Struthio camelus: one gene and its partner. The protein of the gene in region 1 purifies or fractionates together with the protein of each later gene. This does not show direct contact. Links are inferred from orthologs where the notes say so. Each region holds a gene or a part of one and is shown in the gene's direction. Other genes may lie near its edges.

Region 1 (11,317 bases):
AGCCCAGCACAGAAGTTTTGCGCAAGCAGACTGGCTCACAGCAGGAATGGTGTGACAAACCAAACACCCGGAGCTCCAGCCACACCTTTTCCAGAGCTCAGCACTGGCTATGCCATGCCATCTGAGGCCCATCACAGACCTCCTATGACCCTTCTACGCACCCAGTTCTCCTCTTACCACCTGCCCAGTCTAGGCCCCAAAACCTGGACTCACTCCACAAACTCGTGCTCCCCCAGGTTGGTAAACATATAGCCATGGTAACCGAAGACATCACCAGTGAAGAACTTGATGCTATTCTTGTGGCAAATCTGGTCAATCTTCACCATAACATCCCGGGAGCAGCACGTTAGGCAGACCTGCAGGCACAGAGTTGTCATTCTTAGCAGAAGTTGAACGTTTACCAACTCGCACCCCCTCCCTCCTCAGGGGAGCTGCTGGGGATTGTTATTCCATGCTGGGGTGTGAAATCTTCCTTCCCTTCCTGGACAGTTAGGAAGGTTTCAGGTAGAACTGTCATTTCATTCACAGTGGGACACTGAACAGTACTCAGAGCAATTATCAATTTTCCTTCCTGTCACACTAAATTCTGATGAAAACACTGGGTAATTCCAGGAGTCTCCTCTCCAGGGATAATTAGGAGGTTAGGGGTAGCAGAATCAAGTTTCTGGACAAAACAGGATGGTTCCTGGAGGCAAGAATTTGGCAACAAAGCTAAATGCAGATATTTTCCATGTAATTGAAATTCAGGGCCTGTCCCATCCTGGGAACTGAGCAGGGTACATACCCTCGAACAGCTCCCTACAGGGGCACACTATTACTAAATAGTCAGAGAGCTTTATGTCCCACTTAACAGCTATTTCTTGCTGCAAGCACAATCCCTTACATTCCCCCCCCCCCCCCCCCCATCTGCCAGCTTCAGGTTGACACCCTGCAGTCAACCAGAGAAGACAGGAACAGGCAGTTGATTCACATGAGCGGTGAGACCTGGATGTGCTCCTCGTTCTCCCAAGACAGTCTGCTTTCTTCCTTTCAAAGCTGCTGTCTGATTTTCATAATCCAATATGAGCACAGAGAGCAGAATTGGGAAAACATGCACACTGCAGTTACTAGAATTACTATCACATCACACCCAGAAAGCTGTCAGCAGGCAGCCACTGTCTGATGCAACCTACAGAGACCAGAAGGGGAACAGATGCCATTTATGAACAATCAGCCAGACCAACCTGTAACTGCAGCATTACAACTTGTGCTGAGAAGCAGCTAAACATGCACACGCTAAGCAAGCCGTTCTGCAGAAACTCAACTACATGAGGCTCAAGGATACACAGCCCAATATTTTACTCCCAAAACTTTGAGCTAATGTAACCACTCTTGTCCAGAACAAAAAGAGCAATTAGCGAGGTATTGTCCCAAGACCTGTATGGTTCTGATTGCTCTCAAATTCTTTTTCCTATTCCCTCACCATTTAGTCTCTGCTCTCCCAACAATGCTACACCAGCACCAGTTCAAAGCTTTTTTCCTGAGTCCAACATATCAATACAAACCACCATGAAGAAATATTTTCACAGATGTAAACGTGCCTTGGTGACTCAGCATGCAACTGAATTGTAGCAGTTTTAAACTGATGCAGGAGCACTCATACAAGCATTTGTACCACTTCAGTCAAATCAGTTCAAGACAACTTAAGACCAACCAATACAACTTAACTGTAGGTAAGTCAACAACTGCTAAGTCTCTCTTCCTCTGACCTTTTCCCCTCATGGCACTTACTGCATCAAACTGGGTGAAGAACTCTTCTGGCTTGTTCTCTACGTTCTCAGGATCAGCTTTCACGTCCACCATGGGATTGAGACTCTGCGCCCGCTCCAAAGATGCTTCAGCTCTATTGCGGCCCAAGGAACCCACAGGGATCAGGAACTGAGCTCTAGTGTCCTCTTGAGAAACCTGAAATAGGAGAAAATGGAGAGAGATGAGTCTTCCCTGTGCTGTTAACTGTTCCCAGAATCACACAGGGCAGCAACACCCACAGGAGAATTACAGCAGATACATTGTAAATGGGAACTCACATAGCTGAAAAGGGACAGCTAACCAGTGCTATCCTTGCAGCAGGAGTGTTAAAAGGCTCATTGCAAGATAACCAGAGAAAAGTCTCATTAGGAGGAAGGATCCAGGGATAGGACCACTGCCTTCTCCAGGAAGGAAGGGCAGATTTGAGGTTTTTAAGATGGGACCATTCCAGCAGATACTATTGCACAGTGACCGCTTGGATCCCTCCTTACGTGTTCTCCCTTCATAACCCTTCAACTGCACCAAGTATTCATCTCTGCTTCAAGAACAACAGAGGTCTCCACGTCCGCTTTTCAGAGGAACAGGCAGGACAAACAGCAGGCAGCACCCTCACATTTTTTGCACTCCTTGCTCCCAGGCCGATTCTCAGACCTTGCAGATCACTTCGCCCGCTCCTGAGCTCAGAGCTCCCTCTTGTGCCCGAGGAGACACCAAGCTACCACAGCGGGCACCACGGCTGCAGCAGTCCGGCACTGCGACCTAGCGGCTGCACTCACTGGAAAAACAAGCAGCCGCAACTGAGGCTCCTGCACAACCCCCCCCCCCCCGGCTCTGTCTGGCCCTGGAGCAGCCAGTACTGCCACAAACTCGCACCAGAAACACTATGCATACAAAATCCCTCAAATGCTCATCCCTCAAACCCTGCTGAAGGCTCCCTGAGCACCTTACACATCCTTGCCTGCGCCTCTTCCAAACGCAGAGGAGGGTTTCGTACGCTGTGCGGCACCTACCAATTTCAGTCATCCCTGGGCCTCCCATCTCCTGTGACAGCAGAGTGAACTGCAGGGCACAAGGCTCTGGACCACGAATAGAAACCTGCTGCACATTTGACAGAGGCAGACTAAACGCTCAACCACAGACTCTATTTAGAGGCCCGGGTTCCATGCGATCCGAGGCACGATCCGAGGCACGAGCGGAGCCCTAGCTGCTTTTCACACACTGTTACAGTCTGTTAAACACCTGCAAAGCCCTAGATAAACACAGAAAGGGGCTGTTCAGACCAAGATAGAGGGGAGAGGCCTGGGTGGAGACCTGCTAGAGAAAGGCCACACACTCCCAGAAATAAGCGCGAGACTATGAGAACAGGCTTCTCAGATCAGGGTACACAGCCACATGTCTGCAGGCAAGATAGCAGGGGAGAAACTGGGGAGCCTGCAGCTCAGCCCTCAGCTTGACAGAGTGCAGATGAGTACAGTCTGCTTATGCCTCTCTCAAATTTAATTCCATGCTTGTCATAAGGAGGCGCACCAATGACTAAAAGTGCACGGGTATGGGATTTCTCTCTACAGACACTACATGCCCCCTATACCCCCTCCCCAAAGACATACACATACACACACCCCCACCACAAAACCCCTACTCCAGTAAGCAATGAAGAAGTCCTCGAGCTCAGACACCCTACCCCCTCCACACACCTACCAGTCCCCAGTAGGCTTTGGGAGCTTTGCTAACCATCCCCTCACCCCCCACTGGCCAGCACTGCAGCCACAAGGAAGAGAGAAGCCTGAAGCTCCCACCTGCTGATGGTCCAGCATGGTCAGGCCTTTGACACCTGCCAGGATGAGATTCTTTGCCACTTCTGCTCCAAGGCCTTTCATCCCCACCAGCAACACCCGGGAAGCTCGTAACCTGCAGTGGAAACACTTGGTCACCGTTAACGGCTTCACTGGAGCACCACGTCCCCAGGGAGAAGGGGAATCAACCACAGTGCTCACGGACAAAACACAACAGGGTGAAAAATACATTCAATGACCAAAGAGGAAAGCTGCGCTAGTAAAGTAGCATCCCTGCCACCAGGGATGGAACCACTGCCTCCGAAATCACCATCACCTCCCAGTTGGGAAAACTTAACTAAGGAGGCAGATATGCATGCTGGGCATTCACAGAAGTCCTGAACCGTGGGGAAAGTTGAGCTACAGCCAAATATTCACTTGGCCCAGGCAAAATGGGAGAAGCCCAGGATCATTACAGGAGAGCCAAACATGTCTGGCAGGACCTGAAAGTTTCACAGCAGCATCAGGGAAAAGAGTAGAGGTATAGATTTAACCACGATACCTGATACGGAAGAAAAGGAAGAGAGATGGGAGCTGTTGGGCGTCAGTAATCCAGATAATTCACAGAAAATAGATTATTTGCAGCTTTGAAAGAGAGACTAAAATCAGTATGCACTGATAAGGCCTCGTATTGCTTTTCAGAGAACAAGGGGTGGACTCACAGGTTCACTACAACACCACAGTTTGAGGTTCCTAATAGCAAATTCTAATAGTCCAGCTGAGGCCTGGACCTCAACCTCACCCACTGAAGGTGCACTGGGTTACATGCCAACTGATTGGGATATATATAAAATTAATAGCATGATATAATTAATGGAAATTATTTCTTTGCAAATATTTATTATGAGACCAAGTTAATGTATGCAATTTCTAAGTTCTCAGAATAGCTGAATGCTGACTTTCCTTGCTTTTTAAAATCAATTTAAATAATTTTTTCCTTAGCATTCTTTTGATTGACTAGGTTGCATTGTTTTTCTAACAAAATCAAGTTTATTTAGACTACCTTAATAAGTAATCATCCAGAGTGTTAAATAGAGTGGCTCTATCATGTAGGTCAGTTAAGTCAGGAGGTCACTGATGGGTGCTTTTTGGCCTCACGGTCTATTTCCATGCTTGCTTTCACTCTGCATCTAGCAGCACCATTATATTTGTGCCCCTATTTCAGGTCCGCTCCATCTTCTCCCATACACATACTATTGCTATTTTCAAGGTAACATCTAAGAAATTTAAAGCTGGCAGAAACCTGGACAGGCTGCAGTAAAGGGCTGCAAAGATAACTTGAAAGCTGAAGAGGCCTCACAGAGAAGATATGGGCTGAATAAGAGGCTCTTTAGCAGAGAACCAGCAGGTGGAAGCAGATGCTCGGCAATCCCAGCTGGGAATGAATGAGAAGACTTTAACAATAGAAACTAAGTAGTGGATCAGACTCTCTTGTAGATACGGTCAATATTTTTGTTATCTTCAACCTAAGGAGGCACGATTTTCACCAAACGTGCATTATCACTGGGCTCCAGTTTGGGTAAGATTTTCCAGCCTGAACTGTGCAGGAACTGTGAGGAACTAGGGACACACAAAGGGGTACAGCTTACAGCTCTCACCAGCCTGCTGCACAGCGACTGTGTGTGGCTGGAGAACCAAGCAGTCTCCCAGGCAGCTGCTAGCCAGGGCTCCCACATCTCTGTCAACACTGTCCTACATGTGTGATGCGTGCACAAGCAGGGCAACTGCCCAGGATTTCCACAGACGAGGTTTAAAACTTCTCTCAGGGTGCCAGCAGCAGCACAAAGATCGACATCTCACGCCGGGCCACCACAGGGTTTTTCTCCTGCCCTTCTGCCACCATCTCCCTGAGCACCTCCTCCCACTTTCCCACCCCGTATGCTACCCTGCCACCCCCTGCAACACCAGCCACTGCCTCCCAAACTGGCAGCTTCCTTCCTGGGGCCCCCATTTCCCCAAACCCCTCTCCCAGGTGCCCCAAGCCTTGCCTCCCCCATCTCCTACTGTCCCAACCCCATCTCCTCCTTCTTCAGCTCCCCAGAGCCCTGAGACTTCTAGAGACCTTCTAGACCTCCACAGGCTCCTATAGACCTCGCATGCCCCCATACACACCACCAGCTATACAGACCCTTCTCAAGCCCCTGCAAACCTCCTGCAGATACCCCACAGTAACTGCGGTCACTGCATTAGGGTCCCCCCCAAGCCCCTACAGGCCCCTACCACACACTGTGAGGACCACTTAACCCATACAAGCCCCCCCAAGCCACTACAGGGCCTCCTCAAACACTGTAGAGTCCCCCAAACCCCTGCAGAGCCCCCCCAAATACTGCAAGGCCCCCATCAACCCACGCAGGGCCCCCCAAACCGCTGTAGAGCCCCCAAACCCCCACAGAGCCTCCCAAAATGCTGCAGGGGCCTCCAAAACGCTGTAGCCCCCCCAAACCCATTCAGCGCCCCTCCAAATCAATACAGCCCCCCCAAATGCCGCCGCCCCCCCCCAAGCGCTGAGGGACCCCCGACACCTACAAGGGCCCCCCCGCCCGCAGGCCCCTACAGCCTCCCCCGAGCCGCCCCCCGCCTCGCTGACCGCTTCTGGGCCTCGAGCCCCCAGAGCCGGATCTGCCGGTCATACTGCGCCGCCTCCTCCTCGCTGATGCCGCCGGGGCCGCCCTCCTCCTTCTCCACCATCCCGCCGCCGCCGCCTCACGGCCGCCGCGCCCGGGCGGCGCCCCCTGGCGGCCCGCGCGGGCGCTGCGCGGCGCCCGGCACCGCGGCGCGCCGGGAGGGGAGGGGGGGAAGCGCCCCGGGCCGAGCGGCCCCCGCCGCCCCGCGCCCCGCCCGTATCCCCCCCCGCCAGAGAGCCGCTCCGAGGGCTCGTCCCGCCTCAGCGGCCCCCTGCGCGGGGGGGGCGGCCGCCGCGCTCGGCCTCGGCGCCGCCTCTCGCGCGCTCACTCGCGCAGCTCCCCCCCCTCCCGCCGCGGTGCACTTGGTTCTGCCCGACCTCTTCGGCACTTTCCGCCAGCGCTCGGCTGCGTTCGGAAAGTTCCGCCTCCTCCCGCTGCCCCTCGGCGCTTCGGCTCGGCCGCTTCCGCCATCCTTCGGCAACCTCCGGCTGCTTCCGCGTCCGGCCGTGCGTGCCGCGGCGAAGGGGGAGGGGGGAGGGCGTTCGGCGGCGCTCGGGCCTTTCCGGCGGCGCTCGGGCCTTTCCGGCGGCCGTGTGGGGCGCTGCCTCGGCGCGGCTGCGTGCCGGCGGGCGCCATTTTGTGTGCCTTCCCGTGGAGTGCGGGGCAGGCGGAAAGCCGGGCCGTGCCGACCCCCGCTCTGTACAGTGACTGTGCCCCGTGTGCTCCCCCCTCTCCCCCCCCGCCCATGGCCGTGGAGAGCCCGAGTGTCCCCCCCGCCGCCGCCGCCTCCCCCCCCAGCCCGCACTCCACCCCCCCATCTCCGTCCTGCCACCACCACGACAGCGGCAGCTGCAGCCTCCCCCGGCCGCCGCCGCCGCTCCAACTCCACCACGGCCCGGACGAAAGGTCCAGTAACCGCCTCTCCCGAGAGCCTCTCTGTCTGTCTGTGTCTGTCTGTCCGGCTCGCCGGACCAGGTTTGGGGGGGGGCGGGCAGGGACGGGCCGCGGGCGACCGGGAGGAGGTGGGGGGCCAGCCGGGGCGGGGGGGTCCTCGGGGCCCGAGAGCCACCGGCCCGGGCGGGGGGACAGGGTCTGAGGTGAGCGGGGGAGCCAGGGCTTAGCGGGGTGCAGGCCCGAGGCGGGCAGGGGGGTAGGCCCGGCCGGGGGGCGCAGGGCTGGGGGCGAGAGTGTGCAGGAGCGCTCGGGGGGTCCCCAGGGCCCGGGCCGAGGAGGAGGAGAGGGGCGAGAGCGAGGGCTGGGGCCAGGCAGCGAGCTGGGGGGGGGGGGAGCGCAGCGCTGGGAACAGCCGGGGGACTTGGGGGGGTGGTGGCAGGGCCTAGGAACAGCCGGGGGTCTGGGCGGGGGGGGGCAGGGCCTGGGAACAGCGAAGGGGCCGGGGGGGAGAGGATCTGGGAAGAGCCAGGGGGTTTGGGGGGGGGGAGCGGGTCTGGGAAGAGCCAGGCGGCCGGGGGGAGGGGGCCGAGGCTGGGAAGAGCCAGGGGAAGGGGCTCAGGCAGGGGCCCGGTGGGGGCGCGGGGCCGGGGGCAGCGCAGGGCCGGGGGGCCCCAGGCAGCGGGGCGTGATGAGGGAGCAGGCCAGGGGCTGGTGGGCAGCAGGCCCAGTTGGGGCTGAGGGCCGGAGCAGGGAGCCTGGGCTGGGGGTGGCTGCGAGGGGATGGGTCCCCACTTGCTGGGCAGGGTCAGGGGAAGGCTTTCTGGGGTCCTTAATGAGGTCTTTAATGACGTTATTCTCTTGGGCAGCACTGGCCTCATTAATGTCCCCTTTGTCTTCAGCTGCTTCTTAAAATTTCCTGGCTATGCTGGGGCATTAGGGAGTGCGGCCTGGGCAGAAAGGCGCTGGGGTTGCAATGTGGAGCTTTCTAGGCACTGGCATGGTATGGGATGTGTTGAGTAGTGATACCCTTGTTTGCCCTCCCTCGTCCCCTTTATATAGAAAGACTCACTTCCACAGCTGGAATCTCAAGTGGTCCCATTATGTCAAGGTATTGAAAAGTTTAAAATCCCCCAGGAAACCCTCTTTCCTCTTTTCCTCAGAGATGTATGTAAAGCACCTTCTCCCTCCCCCCAAAACATAACTTCAGCTGTTTCCTTTATTAGACTTTATTAGCACTTTTTTATTGGAAACCCTATAGCCAGAAAGTATTGTGTAGTGCACAAAAATAAACAGCTTAATCATATATGTTTGTCTGAAAAAAAAAGAGAGGTTTGCCCCCTTCCCACTCCCCTGGAAGGCAGGTGTGCGGTACAGAGAGCTGCTTTTATACATTAGCATGCCTTTGTCTCTAAGGAGTTTTGTTTTTCCTATGATGCAGGGTTGGGTTGGTAAGTATTCTCTTTTATTGAATAATTAAATTATACCTTTTTGTTTCTTTCCCCCGCACCAAAAAACGTCCTGAGATCATCTTTAGGATACGTTTCATGTAAGGAATGAGTTAATACAATGTGTGTACAAACCAAGCAGAATTCTCCCCCTTTGTAATGACTTGACTGATATAGAGTTGTGCACCCTGCCAGTGTGAGTGTTTAAAAAAAAAGTCACAAAAGCACACAATTTACTCCAAAATATGTCTGTTGTGACGTTTCCTGGTGAAGTAGCACTGAGATACCTCAGTAAAAGTCATACCACTCTGACCCTTGGTGCCATCTAGACATAGGATGTGGATCCATTACTTTGTCTACAAACTCCATCCTCATTCCATTACGTTGACAGTAAACAGGCTACCCCTGGGTGCAGGTCTGCCCATAAAACAGAAAAGTTGTTAAAAAGTTTTGTTAACAAACTCAGAAGTGTGTAAAAAAAAAAAAAAGGTGGCAAAGAAAGCACTGTTTCCCAAATGTCATCACACATTTTTCCCCCATCCCCATGTACAGTTTCATATTTGATAATTAGAGAAGTTTAAGCAGGACAAATAGCAACGTACAGTGTAAGCACCCAGTTTGTAAGAATCTCTTTAGTGTCCTGGATTTTCTTCTACTTTTCTTTTTGTTATTCCTTTGTTAAGCAGGTGTGTTATGAAAAGTTCTTACAAGTTTGTTCCTCACGGTTCTTTACATGATTCAAAATATAAGTAAGAACACCATGCACAGTATTTGGTATTTTCTCCCCTCAGCATATTATTTTTGACTCTTAGGTTATTCTTTCATGTAGAGCAAAAACACACACTTTTGCCCTGGAGTATTTCATCCAGTTTACATTTTCACGGGTGGAAGAAGCGATGTTAGTTTCCTGTAAGCACACAAACACAGTTGTGTGAATTTGTACTGTTTTGTTTCCCTCTTGTTTTTAATTCATTCACTAAAAAAAAAAAAAGTGTATACATCTGCTTAAAACCTTGACTATGAAATAATGCAAGCACTCGTTATAGAAAATAAGTAGAGGACTTTTTGTTACAAATTTTATTGTGTTTTAGAAAGGGGTTTTCATGCTGCAGTAAACATAAAACAATATCCAGTGATGTCTTTTAGTTTTATGCCTTTCTGTTACTATTTTAAGTGTTTATAGTGGGACCTTTCTCCCTTATGATCCACTGATCCACCTTCTACAGCTTAACTTTGCCATGAAGTCATAAAGCTTGACATTTTTTTTTCCTTTCATCAAAGGTCCACCGTCAGAGCTTGAAAATATTACTGGCCTGGCCAAAAAGTTTTTAGCTCTGGTAGTTCAGAAAGAGTGGGGCCTCATAGCATGGATTTTTCCCTAATGCATTCAATTAGTAGCTTTATTCTGCTAAACCTCTAAATTATTTTACTAAATGTACATACATGCTGTGCTTTATACTTCCACTCTTGATACGATCAAAATCCCAAATGGTTTTTCACTGTCAGCTGCTGATTAGTGTCATAAGCAATTTTTATGCATGTCAGGATGAGTTGGAAAGGGCAGATGAAATAGAAAAAAAGTAGGCTGTTGGAAAATTTTAGGTTAGTTTTCTGCTTTTTGAGGGAGTGTAGTATAACTGTATGAAAGACCCAGGAACTGCTCTAATGTCAGAAGTGCTAAGGGACTGTACTTCCAAGTTTAGAGGAATGGCTAAGCAATTTCATAAAGTGAATATACGTTTTTATTATATAGTTAAATATTAGCAAGAGGAGTCAAATCTCTAAACTTGGTTGGGGTTTCTTTTTCTAGTATCTTGCTACTCTTGTCCCTTTTTTAGTTAGGCAGAACCATTTTTAGTACTCCAGATTTGCTAGCGATTACCTTTTTAATCACGCAAAAATAGAGGCATGTATTTAACATTAGTACTGTGAACAGTTCCGTGGAGACCAGAGCATCTTTTGGTAGTAAAGTTAAGCGCATGCCAGAATTTTTTCAGGGGCATTTTTTAAATCTGTAATTGTTCAGCTGCAATCGGAAGACCTAGAGAGGTCAGTGTGAGGGTTCTCATCTGTGCTGAGCCAGGTATTGCCCTCTGCCTTGCTCCTTTGGTAGCCAGGCTTTGTTGTGCTAGTTAAAGAATGGCTAAAGCAAACCCCAGACCAAGTGTCTTTTTCAGTACCTTTGACATATCCGTTTCTGTGACATCAGCCTTGCAGTGGCAGTGAAAAGGACGTCACAGCTCAGCCTTACGATTTCACTGAAGGATCCAAAAGTAGGAATGGGAAGGAGCCAACTTCCAAACAAAAATGGCATTAATAATTAGCAGTTGAGTCAAGCACATTCCCAAATAAATCTTGAGTTGTGATTAAATAGCTGCTTGAAACTTTCCTTTAGTATAAATGTCTCTCAAAAAACGTGGGCTTTTTAGGGGCATAAAAGTAGAATTTGCCTTGATTGCAGACTAGAAGTGTCCGTGTCAGAAGTTATTTCAGGTTTAAGCGGCCTAGAAGGATGTCTCTCAAAGCTTCCTTTCTAGTGAATTGATAGAACATATTTGTTATACATGTCCCATAATGAAAGAACACTGAGTAGAAGATAGCTTTAAAAAAGGCTGATAAATTGTAATGATTTCTGCCCCAGTCCAAACAGTCTGTATATAACACAGTATGCCTCATTCTGGAGGCCTTGCTATCTTAAAAGTGGTTGTTCTTTTATTTCTTGGTGGATGTATTT
Region 2 (11,450 bases), on another chromosome or scaffold:
AGTTAGCTGCTCTGTCTAGCACATGGGGAAATTACAGTCTCACATCCCTGCCTTCTCCTCTCCCCACTGCTGCCTGGGAGAAACCTGGGCTAGGAGAAGGGGCTGGTGATGTGACTCGCATTGCTTCGCGCACCAGCTAATCTTAGTTTCCCAGTGCCCCGGGGAGCTCACAGAGAGATGAACAAACCCTCTTCCATATGGACATAAGGCTGCATACTACAGGCACTAGGGCGGCTCAGATTTTACCCCAGCCCTTTGTCCCTGCTCGGGACAATTTGGGGTTGGGAGAATATCCTTTTGGAAAGTTTTCCAGAAGTTCACATTAACCTTAGGAGGAAAATGATGCTGAGAATCACCTGTTCCAAAAAGACAGGAGGACTGCAAGGGTTTTAGATTAATCCCCTTTAAATGAAAACTCCCTCAGCTGTTGTTAATGAATAATGTTTGCCATCTACATTCCTGTTTGCATGCATTACCATTATAAGCGTGAGTGCCCTTTCTTCACAGGGCTCCTCCTAAGTCTGCAGTAACTTCCACTGTTAACTCCCACAGCAAAAGGCAGCAAACACCTAGCTCCTGATTTTTCACCTTCTCTGGGAAAGAGGGAGGGAGAGGAGCTGGAGTGTGCTAAAATATAGGCAAAACACTTGTTGGCACTATCTTTCATTAACTTTTTAATTAAAGTAATTCCGCAGGCAAGGAGCCAAAGTCAGAAGGAGACAGGAACAATCCAGCACCAGGGGCAGAAACATGGTAAGCTGCCAGGTAAATTGGATGGTGGCATGAGACCAAAGGCATGGACACAGGGAGGCATAGCCTGAGCCGTAAAGCTGGACTCACACTGTGGAGGAAGACAGTGCACAAACGAGCTGGCTGTGCCTATGCAATGAGAAAAATGAGCCAGCCCTTCACTCCACAGCAGGTATTTGAAAGTCAGAAAAATACTCCCTTCCAGGGGCCAGTCTGCCATTGCTGGGCAGAGCTGTGTTTGGAGGGTCTTTTTCTCAAGAGTCTGCATTATGGGCTTGTGGGGGTTTTTTTTGAAGTCAAAGCAATCGGGCTTGCTGCAGGCTGACCCAGTCACATAGCCCCACGGGCAAACGTGCTGCAAGGTCTGCGGACGTTGAATATTAACGTCCCGGGAGGTCTAATTTAGCTGCTGTCTTCATGGATCTAAGTTGGTTTCTTCTAATCGTCACTGGGATTTCTCTGGATTTCCCCCAATGTGGCAACGATTGGTGGCTGGCCCACCATGTACAGAGCCGACCCCAAAAATCTCTGAGGGGACCAGAAAGCACTTGAGATGGCATTGGATCAAACCCCAATTGTTCAAGCATAATTTGAGCAGAAGACAGATTACATCCCTGTTACAGTAGTAGAAGAGTAGTTATAGCAAGTCTTAGCAGAGTCTCCTGCTACTCGTTTTTCTTGCTACGTGACTTTCTTCTGGCCTCTTGGTATCTAAATTACCATTAGACTCATCAAGGCTTAGCTCTTCCATTTTCCATGCATTATCACGGGAGTTTACCTATGGAGTACAACAGAGTCCAGATTTTACTGCACTGACCTCCCACGTTCCCATTTACTGACACGTCTCTTCTATCACTTGATATATCAAATTTAATTCGCTTGGTGAGCCTTGCTCAGACTCAAACTTGCTGCCTCAGATGGTCCCAAAAGCATTTATGAGAAAGTTTGCCGGGAGATGCACAGGACCCAGGAGGAAAACAAGAAGATGAAGGTTTGTTCTAAGTGACTATTCTAGGAGGATTAGATGGGGGATTTTTCAAGACTAATCTCTTCAAATAAAAATCTTAGAATTTGATTATTTTTTAATCCGCACATGGATTTGCATAAAATTACCACACTGTCTCATTCACACTTTGTAAAAGATAAAATATCTGCAGGTGGGAGGGACCAACTGATCACCGCTCAGATGCGACGAGTCCCGTGCACGAGCGGGTGTGCAGGGGCTTTCCCCTCTGTTCACCGTGGCACTCCTGCAGCGGTCACTGGGAAAGAGGATGACGGTGGGCAGAAGTGGTACCATTAGAGCAGAGAGCTCCATAGCAGGTTTGCTAGGCCAGCAAGAGAGAAAGGATGGAGTCCGAGTATCTTTGTTCGAGAATATGCTGAGCTCTGGAAACCCAGGAGTCCTAATTTCCAATACACTGTTTTCTGTATGTTTCTTGGAGAAGAAATATGTTGCTCTCATGACTGATTTGCTCACCAGGAAAGTGTCAACAAGGTCTCTTTGCCTTTGATGGGGAATGTAGCCTAAGGCCAAACACAGGGAAGATAAGTGTTCTGCTCAGCATTTTTTATATATATAGATCAGCATCATTAGCAAAAAAAATTAACTACATTTGACATATGCCTCTTACTAGTTTTTCTAGGTCACACTCCCTTCACTCCCTATATACCTTTTGAAAATGATTTTCCCATGTGCTGGGGATTGTGGGGAAGAAAAAATTTTGACCAGAAAAATCCTTCTGTAGTTCAGTGCGGAACAGTACTACCCTGAAGCCAAGTCCGTGCCAAGTCTACTTCCTTTCATGCTGCAATTCCTCAAGCTCCCTATTCCGAGTCAAATTGCAGTCAAAGTTGACAGTCATTTAAAATACAGAGGAGGATCATAGCATTCTAGAGAAGATGAAAAGTTGCCAGCCTTGACGACTGGAATAATAGAAAGGGGGCGAAATTCAGTACTGCAGAATACAAGGTCATGCTCTTTGGGATTAATAGCAAAAATGTATGAGCTCTTCAGCTGGAAATGACATAAGAGGAGAAAGAGCCAGGAATATTAATCAGTCACAGGATTACAATTACAGCTGCCTTCTAGGCTGAGGTGACTGGCTATGGGAACAAGGGGAGAGTGGCAGATGTAATCTACCTTGACTTCAGTGAGGTTTGTGGCACCATTCTCATTAGCAAGCTGAAGAAATTGGGCAAATATACTGCTAGACCGGCTAAAAACCAGCTCAGCCGCTGGGCTCAGAGGGTAGAAATCAGTGGCTCAAGTGTCCAGCTGGCAGCCGGTAACGAACAGGGAAGCCCTGCGTCCATACTGGGGGTCCGTGCTTCCCACAGCTTCTTTGGTGGGATAAGCTTCTGGAGATAGCACAGAGTGCATCCTCAGTAACTTTGTGGATGACACTAACTGGGGGGAGTAGCTGACACACTGAATGGTGGAACAACCTGCCAGAGGAACCGTGATAAACTCGAGGACAGGGCCAACAGAATCCTCGTGATGTGCAGCAAGGAGAAGTGAGAAGTTTTGCAGCTGGGGCAGGACCCCCAGGCATTAAGGCAGACTGGGAACCGACTGGCTGAGTAGCAGCCCTGCTGACAAGGAGAGAGGGGGTCTGGATGAACGTCAAGGGGAATATGAGCAACCAGTGTGCTCTCCTTGCAAGTCAGTCATGCTATGGACATGGCTACCCAGAGGGGTCGTGGTCTCCCTCCTTGGAGGTTTTAAAGACTTGGCTAGACAAAACTATGGCCAGCCTGATCTTGCCTTAGTGATAGTCCTGCCCTGAGCAGAAGGGTGGACTAGGGACCTCCGGAAGTCCCTTTTACCAACACTTCTGTGATGTAGCAGCAAGGACAGGGTTGGATGATCCAGAGCCTCATGCTTATTTTCAAAAGCCCATAAAGAGGTGCCAAGTTGTGCGCCACAAGCCTTCCACACAAGCCTTCAAACCCCGTCACTCACAGAGAATCATCACCCACAGCAGAGTCCAACAAAAAAGCATTCACCTGAGCAGCGTTGTTTCAGCAGAAGCATCTCACTGAAATTCATGTCTATTCATTTGAGCAAATGCAAACACGGGACTGTTTGTATTGCGCAGGTCAGGTTACAGTGGTAGGTAACATATAAATGCATAGGTAGCATCACTGCATTTGATCAATATTAGTCAAGTAGCAATTAAACCTCTTTTCTATTAACTAGTTTTGCAGGGCCACTCTCCATAATTCCTACATAATGTGACATTTTGCTAGAAGGTCCAATTATCCTGCCAGATGAATTCCAGCTTTGTATAAACTGACAAACTAAGTTCCAATGATTAGGAAGAAAGGCAGAAGAAAGAATAAAAAGGGAGTGACAAAATATCAAATCAACAACCCACAGTGTTATACAACTCTAAAACTTGGCTAAGTATTGTAGGTGTTTTGAAGTAAATTGTCTTATGATGGTATCGATGAGTCATCTGCTGGGCCCACATGAGATAATCCAGGCTTTGATCTTATAATTTGCAGTGTGCAGGAGGAATGCTGTTCTGCACCTCTCTAACTTAATCTTTCCTTACATGAAAATATATTTTAGGTTTTGAGCTGACCTGTAATGGGGTAGCTGACCCGGAGGCCTTCCGAAGTAATGAAGGTGTCTTTTGTTGAGTCTTCGTGGACGCCAGTGTTAAAATCGTGTATTCATTTCAGAGTAAAGCTTGTTGAATCCTTCCGGCCGGCCAGTCTGATCAGAATATAAAAGAGTGAATTGGACCGGAAGCGATCTAAATCTGTAACGGTGAGCTGTAATAAAGAAACTGTAAGAGCAAGTAAGCACAGAAAAGACTTTTGTTTTAGGAAATGAGCTATATGCACACGAAATAATTAACTCTATTCCAATGACATTTAAACAGACCTTTGACGATACTTCCCAGACATGCTGTTGTTTGACCACAGGAGGGCAATATTATTCTAAAAGCAAACTCTGTTCTGGGGACTAAGAAAGGAAAATGCAGTTAACATGTACAAAGGCATCTAGGGTTGACATTTCTTTCTTTCGGTTCTAAGCTTCTTGGGGACACAAGTAATGAAAGGTTGGCTGTTCTCCTAAAATTAAAATACCGGGTTGCTGGAAATTTTAATGGGGGAATTTTAAAGATTCTCACAGCTATTGCTATACTCCAAGAACAATTCTTTAAGATATGAGAAGTCTGAAAACATGATCATAAAACCTGACATCACGACTCACGAGAGCAAGAAAGCAATTCCACTGCCTTTTTACAGGAGCACAGGCCGCAACACCCAAGACATCTCGGAAGCCCCTGGAGATTGTGCCGCTCATCCCCATCTGAAGTCCTACGCCGTCCGTTGGTATAGCACTAGCATTTCTGCAATAGTGCGGGGAGGCCAGGTCGGAGAATAAAAAATCGTGGGAAATAAGACAATGTCTATAACACTTTAACTGGAAACAGAACAGAAGAATGAGAAAAAACATCATCACTGTGCATTTTAAAGGAAAGGGGGTCTGACTCTCACAGCGGGTGCAGATAAATATGGGAGCTAAGCCTCAAGGCTAAGGAAGCGCGCTGCGGGGTAGAGCCGCGTCCTGCTCACTCCAGAGCAGGAGGCCTGAGGAGAAGCGCTCCCGTTCGGTCACCGCGGGGAGCTGGCGGGAAGCGCTGGGGCCGGGGTACAGGCTCCGCAGCTGCAGCCCACCCCGAGCACCCTCGCTCCCGTTTCCTCACCAGCAGCGGGCAGAGCAAAACGGAACAAAACCCCTAGCGAAAGACATGGCCGGTAGCGAACGCGGCAGGTTATTCGTGGAGTAAAACTTTGTCGCGGCTTTTCTGGACAAACGTCGAGGCGCGCTGCTGAAGCCGCCACGCTAACCGTCCTTCGCTTTGCACCTGTTTCACCCGCAAAACCCACACTGCCACAGCAGCTTCCCTTATGTTTTTGAGGCGGCGCCAGGCCCGAAACCCGCCATCACGTCCGGCGCGCGATGGGAGCTGCACCCCCGCAGAAGTGGGGGGGGGGAGGCGCGTAAGGCGCCACGGTCTCAGGCGGCGGGGGGCGAGCCGAAGCGGGCGGCGGGCCGGCCGCGGCGCAGCAGCGCTCCCCTGTAGCAGAGCAGCTGCGCGAGGCCGGCAGGCGAGCCGGGGCGCAGCAGGCGGCCGGGCTGCGGGCAGCGGAGCGGGACGCGCTGCCCGGGCCTGCCCGGCGCTCCCGGTGCCGGCGGCGGCGGCCCACCTGCGGCTCGAGGCGGCCGGCCGGCCGAGCGCGGCGGGAAGTGACGTTCCCCCGGCGGCGCGGACGCCTGGGGCCGCCGCCGGGCCGGGTGCGCGGGGCAGGCCCAGCGGGGCGCGATGCCAGCCCCCCTCCCCCCCCCGGCCCACGCGTTGCCCCCGGTTCGGGGTGGACGTTAGCCCCGGGGCACAGAGGAGCTGCCCCCCCCCCTCCCCGCGGGCAGCCAGGCCCACACCCCGGCTGCGCCGGCCCTGCCTGCGGCCTGCGGCCACCCCCCCCCCCCGCCCCGGGGTGTCCCTGTCCCCCCAGGCGCAGGCTGCCTGCGCCCCTCGCGCGGCCTGGGGGACCCTGGCGTTGAAGGCAAGGCTCAGCCCGTGGACCCTGTGTGCTTAGGACTACACCGGCCTGTCCCGTCCCGCCCCGGGCCCCGCCGGCCAGGGGGAGGGCGACAGCCGCCCCACGGCGGGAGGGTAGGCGCCCCTGCTGCCACACTCAACATGGCCGCCAGCCCCCACCTCCGTGCCCTTCTCTATCCCAGCAGGCCGCGCGCGCGGCCCGCCGCCTTCCCACAACGCCCCGCGGCGGCGCGCCCCCCCCTTCCCGCCCTCCATCCCACAGTGCCCCGCGCGCCGCCCCCGCCCGTTCCCGGCGCAGCAAGATGGCGGACACAATGAGGAGGAGCCGCCTCTCCGCGGCCTGACCGGGCCGAGCCCCGCCGGAGGGCGCCCCCCGCCCGCCCCGGCCCGCCGCCCCCCCCCCCCCCGCCGCCGCCGCCCCCCACCCCCGCCAAGCCGACGGGCCGGGCCGCGCCGCGCCGCGCCCGGCCGCCGCCCGCCGCCGCCGCGGGGCCCCGCCCGGCTCGCCGCCGCCCTCGGCGCGGCCCGGCGGCGGCATGAAGCTAACGGACAACGTGCTGCGGAGCTTCCGCGTGGCCAAGGTCTTCCGCGAGAACTCGGACAAGATCAACTGCTTCGACTTCAGCCCCAACGGCGAGACCGTCATCTCCAGCAGCGACGACGACTCCATCGTGCTCTACGACTGCCAGGAGGGAAAGTGAGTGCGGGCCCGGGCCCTCGGCGGCGCCGCCGCCGCCCCCCGTGCGGGATGGGGCTCCCCGGGGCGGCCGGCGGTGGCCGCTCTCTGCCCGCCGGCTGCTGAGCTTGGGTGATGTCCTTTCTTCTTTCTTGTTCTCGGGCTAAATTTAAGCTCGTGGGTAGACGGGCAGCAGTGCGTGACAGGAAATATTTATAAACGCTTAAGGTGGGGCGCGGAGGTGGGAGCACCACAGTCCTGTCAGGTTTGTCTGCTTGTCTTTGCTCGCTCCCTTCGCTAGGCCAGAGCTACTGATGGTAATTGGGTGTTGGAGCGTTTTCCTAGCTACGAGGAATGAATATTGCTTAAGGTGAGGATTTTGAATCTGGTGGCAGGTCTAGGCCTCGGTATTGTCACGGGTGGGCAAACTGACTTCTCAGGCTGGTCTGGGTTTAAATCTCAGTAAGTGAAATAGAGGCAGTTGCGGTGAGCAATGTGCAGATGTGCCATTTTAAGTAGTTAGTCCAACTGTGGCTTCTTGGTTAAGTACTTAAACTTAAAGATGAGGGTGGCATGGTATGTGTCCAGAATAACTTTCAGAAGCTCTGTGACGTCTTCATTAAAACGTAGTTTCTAAATGATACCTGGGAGTGTTGTGGGTAAAGGTGATTCTCTGTGCTTTAAATCTTAATTTTTTTCTAGTCACCTCTTCATCTATGAAGTGCAGTTAAGATACGTATGTGACTTACATGCATCTTCAGAAATTGTCTAAATTCATATTGAATCAATTAAGATGTTTACTGATTGATCTTATTTGACGTTATTAATGAATTATTAATGAATTAAGAGGTATTTATTTTTCATTGAACAGAGTTGTGCAGTTATCTTCTTTCACTGTTCATGCAATCCTCGTCCCATCTTTTGGATAAAAAGCAGTAATTCGCACAGCCCCTGAAATATGGTTCTCTTGGTCGATCAGGGGATGCAAATATGCAGACAAGGCAATCAGTAACTTTTGTAGGTTGTGTCTCGGAATGTCTGCAAAAGAAGACATTTCTTCTTCTGTAAGAGTTGGACCAAACTGAGCCAATGATGTCATTATTCCATTAAAAACTTGGTGTTTGGATAATTCAGAGTTGCTTAAAAAATGTATTTGCATGTTTACAGTATTGATTTTCAGTAAAAGCTCTAATGTGCCATAGAGGGGTGGTTACTGGGCCTGGAATTGAGCTTGGGAAACCAAAGAGACTTGGCCCTTTGGTGCATCATGTAATAATGATTTTAAAAATTGAGAATGTTGCAATCACAGCTTTTCTTTGCATGTAAGTCGTTGTGTGTTTGGCACAAGTATGTGTTTGGCTCATTTAAGTTCTTTTAAGTTGTGTTTAAGTTTTAACTTTCCTGTTGTTGTGGAGATGCACTTTTGAGTTTTGTGGGGGCTTTTGTTTTTTGGAAAGTCTTGGGGAGATGCAAGCAGGCAGCGTGACATTCACATATCAAATAAAAGAAAAAGAGGATGCAGTTTGTAGGAGAGAGAATGAATGGGGCAGCACAGCAATACAGGAGTGGAAAATAAATTGCTTAGGGAGAAGAAGGAGACAGAGGTGTCAGTGTTGCATAAGTTTTACAGTAAGCCTGGTATTCCTAGTCGTTTTGCTGTTTTCAAGCAGACCAAGACATTGCGCTTGCTGTGTTGGAAAGAATGCATTCTGCTTATTCTCTTTATTTTGTAGAATTGTTGTTGTATGTTGTTTTATACTTCTGTTTAGTTTGCTTGCTTTACAAATTAACATTCTTGCCACTCCCTGATGCAGTGAGCTTTGATTTGAGAGGAGTTAGTTTTTATTTATATAAGAATAGGTAACATAATATGAATGCTATCTGCTATGGATAGTAGTCTAGATCCTAATTACATACAGTAGTAGAAGGGCTGAGTGATGTTAATGCAGATACTATTGATTCTTCTTCCCCTTTCCAACTTGTAAAGAGCAATTTGATGGGTTGGAAGGCTTTTGGTCCTTTCATTCCTATCTCCGTCTAGTCCTGATGTATGCTTTACAGTGAAAGGATTTGTTTCAATGAAGTTTGCAGTAATAGACCATCGATCTTTTACGTCTGTGTTACAGGGCAATGAGAGCATTTTCAGCAAGGTAACCCATGTTTCAGAATGCGTTTCTCTAGCGGCTGCAAAATTAATTTGAAAGTTGCTCGTGTACTATCAATTGACTTAAAACCATAAATGTGGTTTTTAGAGATGTCTAGGGATGCGGGGCACGCTTTTTTCTCATCTTAGAAAGTTTTAGCTGTGAATTACTTCTCTACAGGAGATTCATGTGGAGATGAAAAATTGAATCTGTGAATGATTATTGTTGTGATGTGGTGGAGTTTGACAGATTCTGGCCAATAGTTAGTTTTTTTTTCCTTTTTTTCCTGTTTTTTTTTTTTAAACAAACCAATGTTTCAAGGGTCTGGATCTCTCACCTTCTTATATATATCATTCCTAATGAATCTAAGGGCTGACAGAAGGCAGTTTTCTGCCTGCTGGGTTTCAGTATAATGAGTCCTACTTCAGCAGAGGATGGCCTAAATGGTAGAACTTTTCTCAGTGTAACAGTGGCAACATTTGGGGGTTTTCATTCCTTTTATTAGGAGCTCAGCTGATAGAATTAAAAGTGCAACTTTGTTTAGTTGCACTTTAAGTATGCGCTTGCCTGGTCTGCTGTGCTTTGCTGTACCTTAATAGCCCATACAAGCAAGCCCATCTGAGGGTACTTCCATTTCTAAATGTGTTAGGCTAGTTTAAACAGCTGTGCTTAGCCAAGAAATGACAGGATAAGGTTCTCTCCTTGAAACAGACTCCCTTATAGTTTATATTTTGAGCATAGGGAACAAGCTTGAAAAATTAGTGTTCCTTTTTCATGAACGTACAATAATTTTGGAGCTGAGAGTCCACTTGTATTTCCAAACGTGTGAACAATTACTCTCGTGATTTGGACCCACTGTGTATTAACAAGTAACTTCAAAATAGATTGGCTCAAAGCATAAAACCAAGAGGCTTACCTACATCTGTTAGGGCTTAACAACGAGCTCTGAAAGCTTTCAGAAGAAAATCGTATGTTGGGGTCTACAGCAGCTCTCGATTTGGAACAAGAGGCTCGTGGTCGCAAATTTCATAATCCTGGTTTGATATAATGGTTTTCTAGCAAGCGTTTAGCTTGTATTTTAGTATATATTGATTGCATGTTATTTATGCTCAGACCAACTGGCTTTGATTGGAAATAGGGTCTTCTGTCTTTACAGCTTCTAAAATTGCTTTGGTGATACGGTCACTGTTCTGGATTCCAAGCGTAGTATGATAGAAGAATCCAGTATTTCTCTTTCTGGAGAGCACTGATGCATCTTGACTCCTGCTTAACCATAGTGTTCGGTGGACATATTAGTGAGCCTGGTTTGGTGTGACAGCTGTGTCTGTTCTACCTGTAGGGATTAAAACCAAGGCACAGACGTTACTTCCTACAGACGTTGCCTGTGTTTTGTTTATTCTTTATAGCAGACTTGACAGTTATCTCCTAAACCATTTTACTTTAGGGATATTGCTTGATTTGCAAGTGGGCTGGCTATATTAACCTTAAACTTGGACTTATGTTTAGTGATGGTGGCTTGTTTAAAAAATACGCAAGACTTGGAGTTTTCCTTTTTGTGTATTTAAATAGTAAATTACAAACAGACGGTTTTGTGTGCAAAGTTTCATGCTTCTGCTTTTGCCAGCTTCCATGGAAACTTCACCTTTCTGAAAATGAAAAAGTCACTTTCCTTCTCTTGGGTAAATGTTCTTTTGTCTATTTCTTATGTGTCTTAATATCTTTATATATGTTCTTTAATGCTTGCTTGTCTTTGGCTCTTTGGAATTGCCATCTGTATTCTCAGGTTTTTAAGGGATTGCTGCTCCCCAGTTAAATGAAAAATTAAAAAGAAAGTCAGCTGCATGTCATGGTATTTTTCAAATTCAAAGCATGCATGTGTATGTATGGGTATTCTTTACAACACTATTTTAAATAGCGTGGAGAGAGAAATTTGCAAACTCAGCTGGTTCGTCCAGTCGCCAGCAGCAAATTACAATTGTAAAATGTAACGTGTGAGAGAGAAAAGCCAAGTCTATCCTAGAACACAGCAAAGTTGTCCAGGTTTTTAGTACAGTCCTTATTTTCTTTCTTTTTTTTTTTTGGCTAGTTAAGCTGTTGCTTAGCTCAAAGGTATTGTGTCTCTGCATTCTGCATACTGCCAGGAAGATGAATCCAAGGGCTCAGCTTGAAGAATACCTCAGTAATTTGCTACTACATTGTACCTTCTTTGTCTGCTGTTTCACTCATATAGCTAATGAGTGCATCTCCGCTGCAGCGGCAGGCACGCACACTCTTGATCATCTGTCAGCACTGCTGACT

Evidence for each region.
Region 2: the proteins of ZC3H4 (region 1) and WDR82 purify together in Homo sapiens (affinity purification with western blotting; 4 studies listed by BioGRID and IntAct, with this or other methods). This does not show direct contact. The link is inferred for Struthio camelus from reciprocal best matches to the Homo sapiens genes ZC3H4 and WDR82.

What each region holds. Positions count from the first base shown.
Region 1 is NC_090957.1:303,584-314,900, forward strand, and holds the start of ZC3H4 (zinc finger CCCH domain-containing protein 4), read left to right. Parts: upstream 1-6,657; 5' UTR 6,658-6,989; coding exon 6,990-7,150; intron 7,151-11,317. Other genes in the region: SAE1 (SUMO-activating enzyme subunit 1), read right to left, coding at 214-356, 1,771-1,944, 3,585-3,696, 6,208-6,308. UniProt on the Homo sapiens protein: RNA-binding protein that suppresses transcription of long non-coding RNAs (lncRNAs). LncRNAs are defined as transcripts more than 200 nucleotides that are not translated into protein.
Region 2 is NC_090955.1:22,933,280-22,944,729, reverse strand, and holds the start of WDR82 (WD repeat-containing protein 82), read left to right. Parts: upstream 1-6,615; 5' UTR 6,616-6,868; coding exon 6,869-7,029; intron 7,030-11,450. UniProt on the Homo sapiens protein: Regulatory component of the SET1/COMPASS complex implicated in the tethering of this complex to transcriptional start sites of active genes.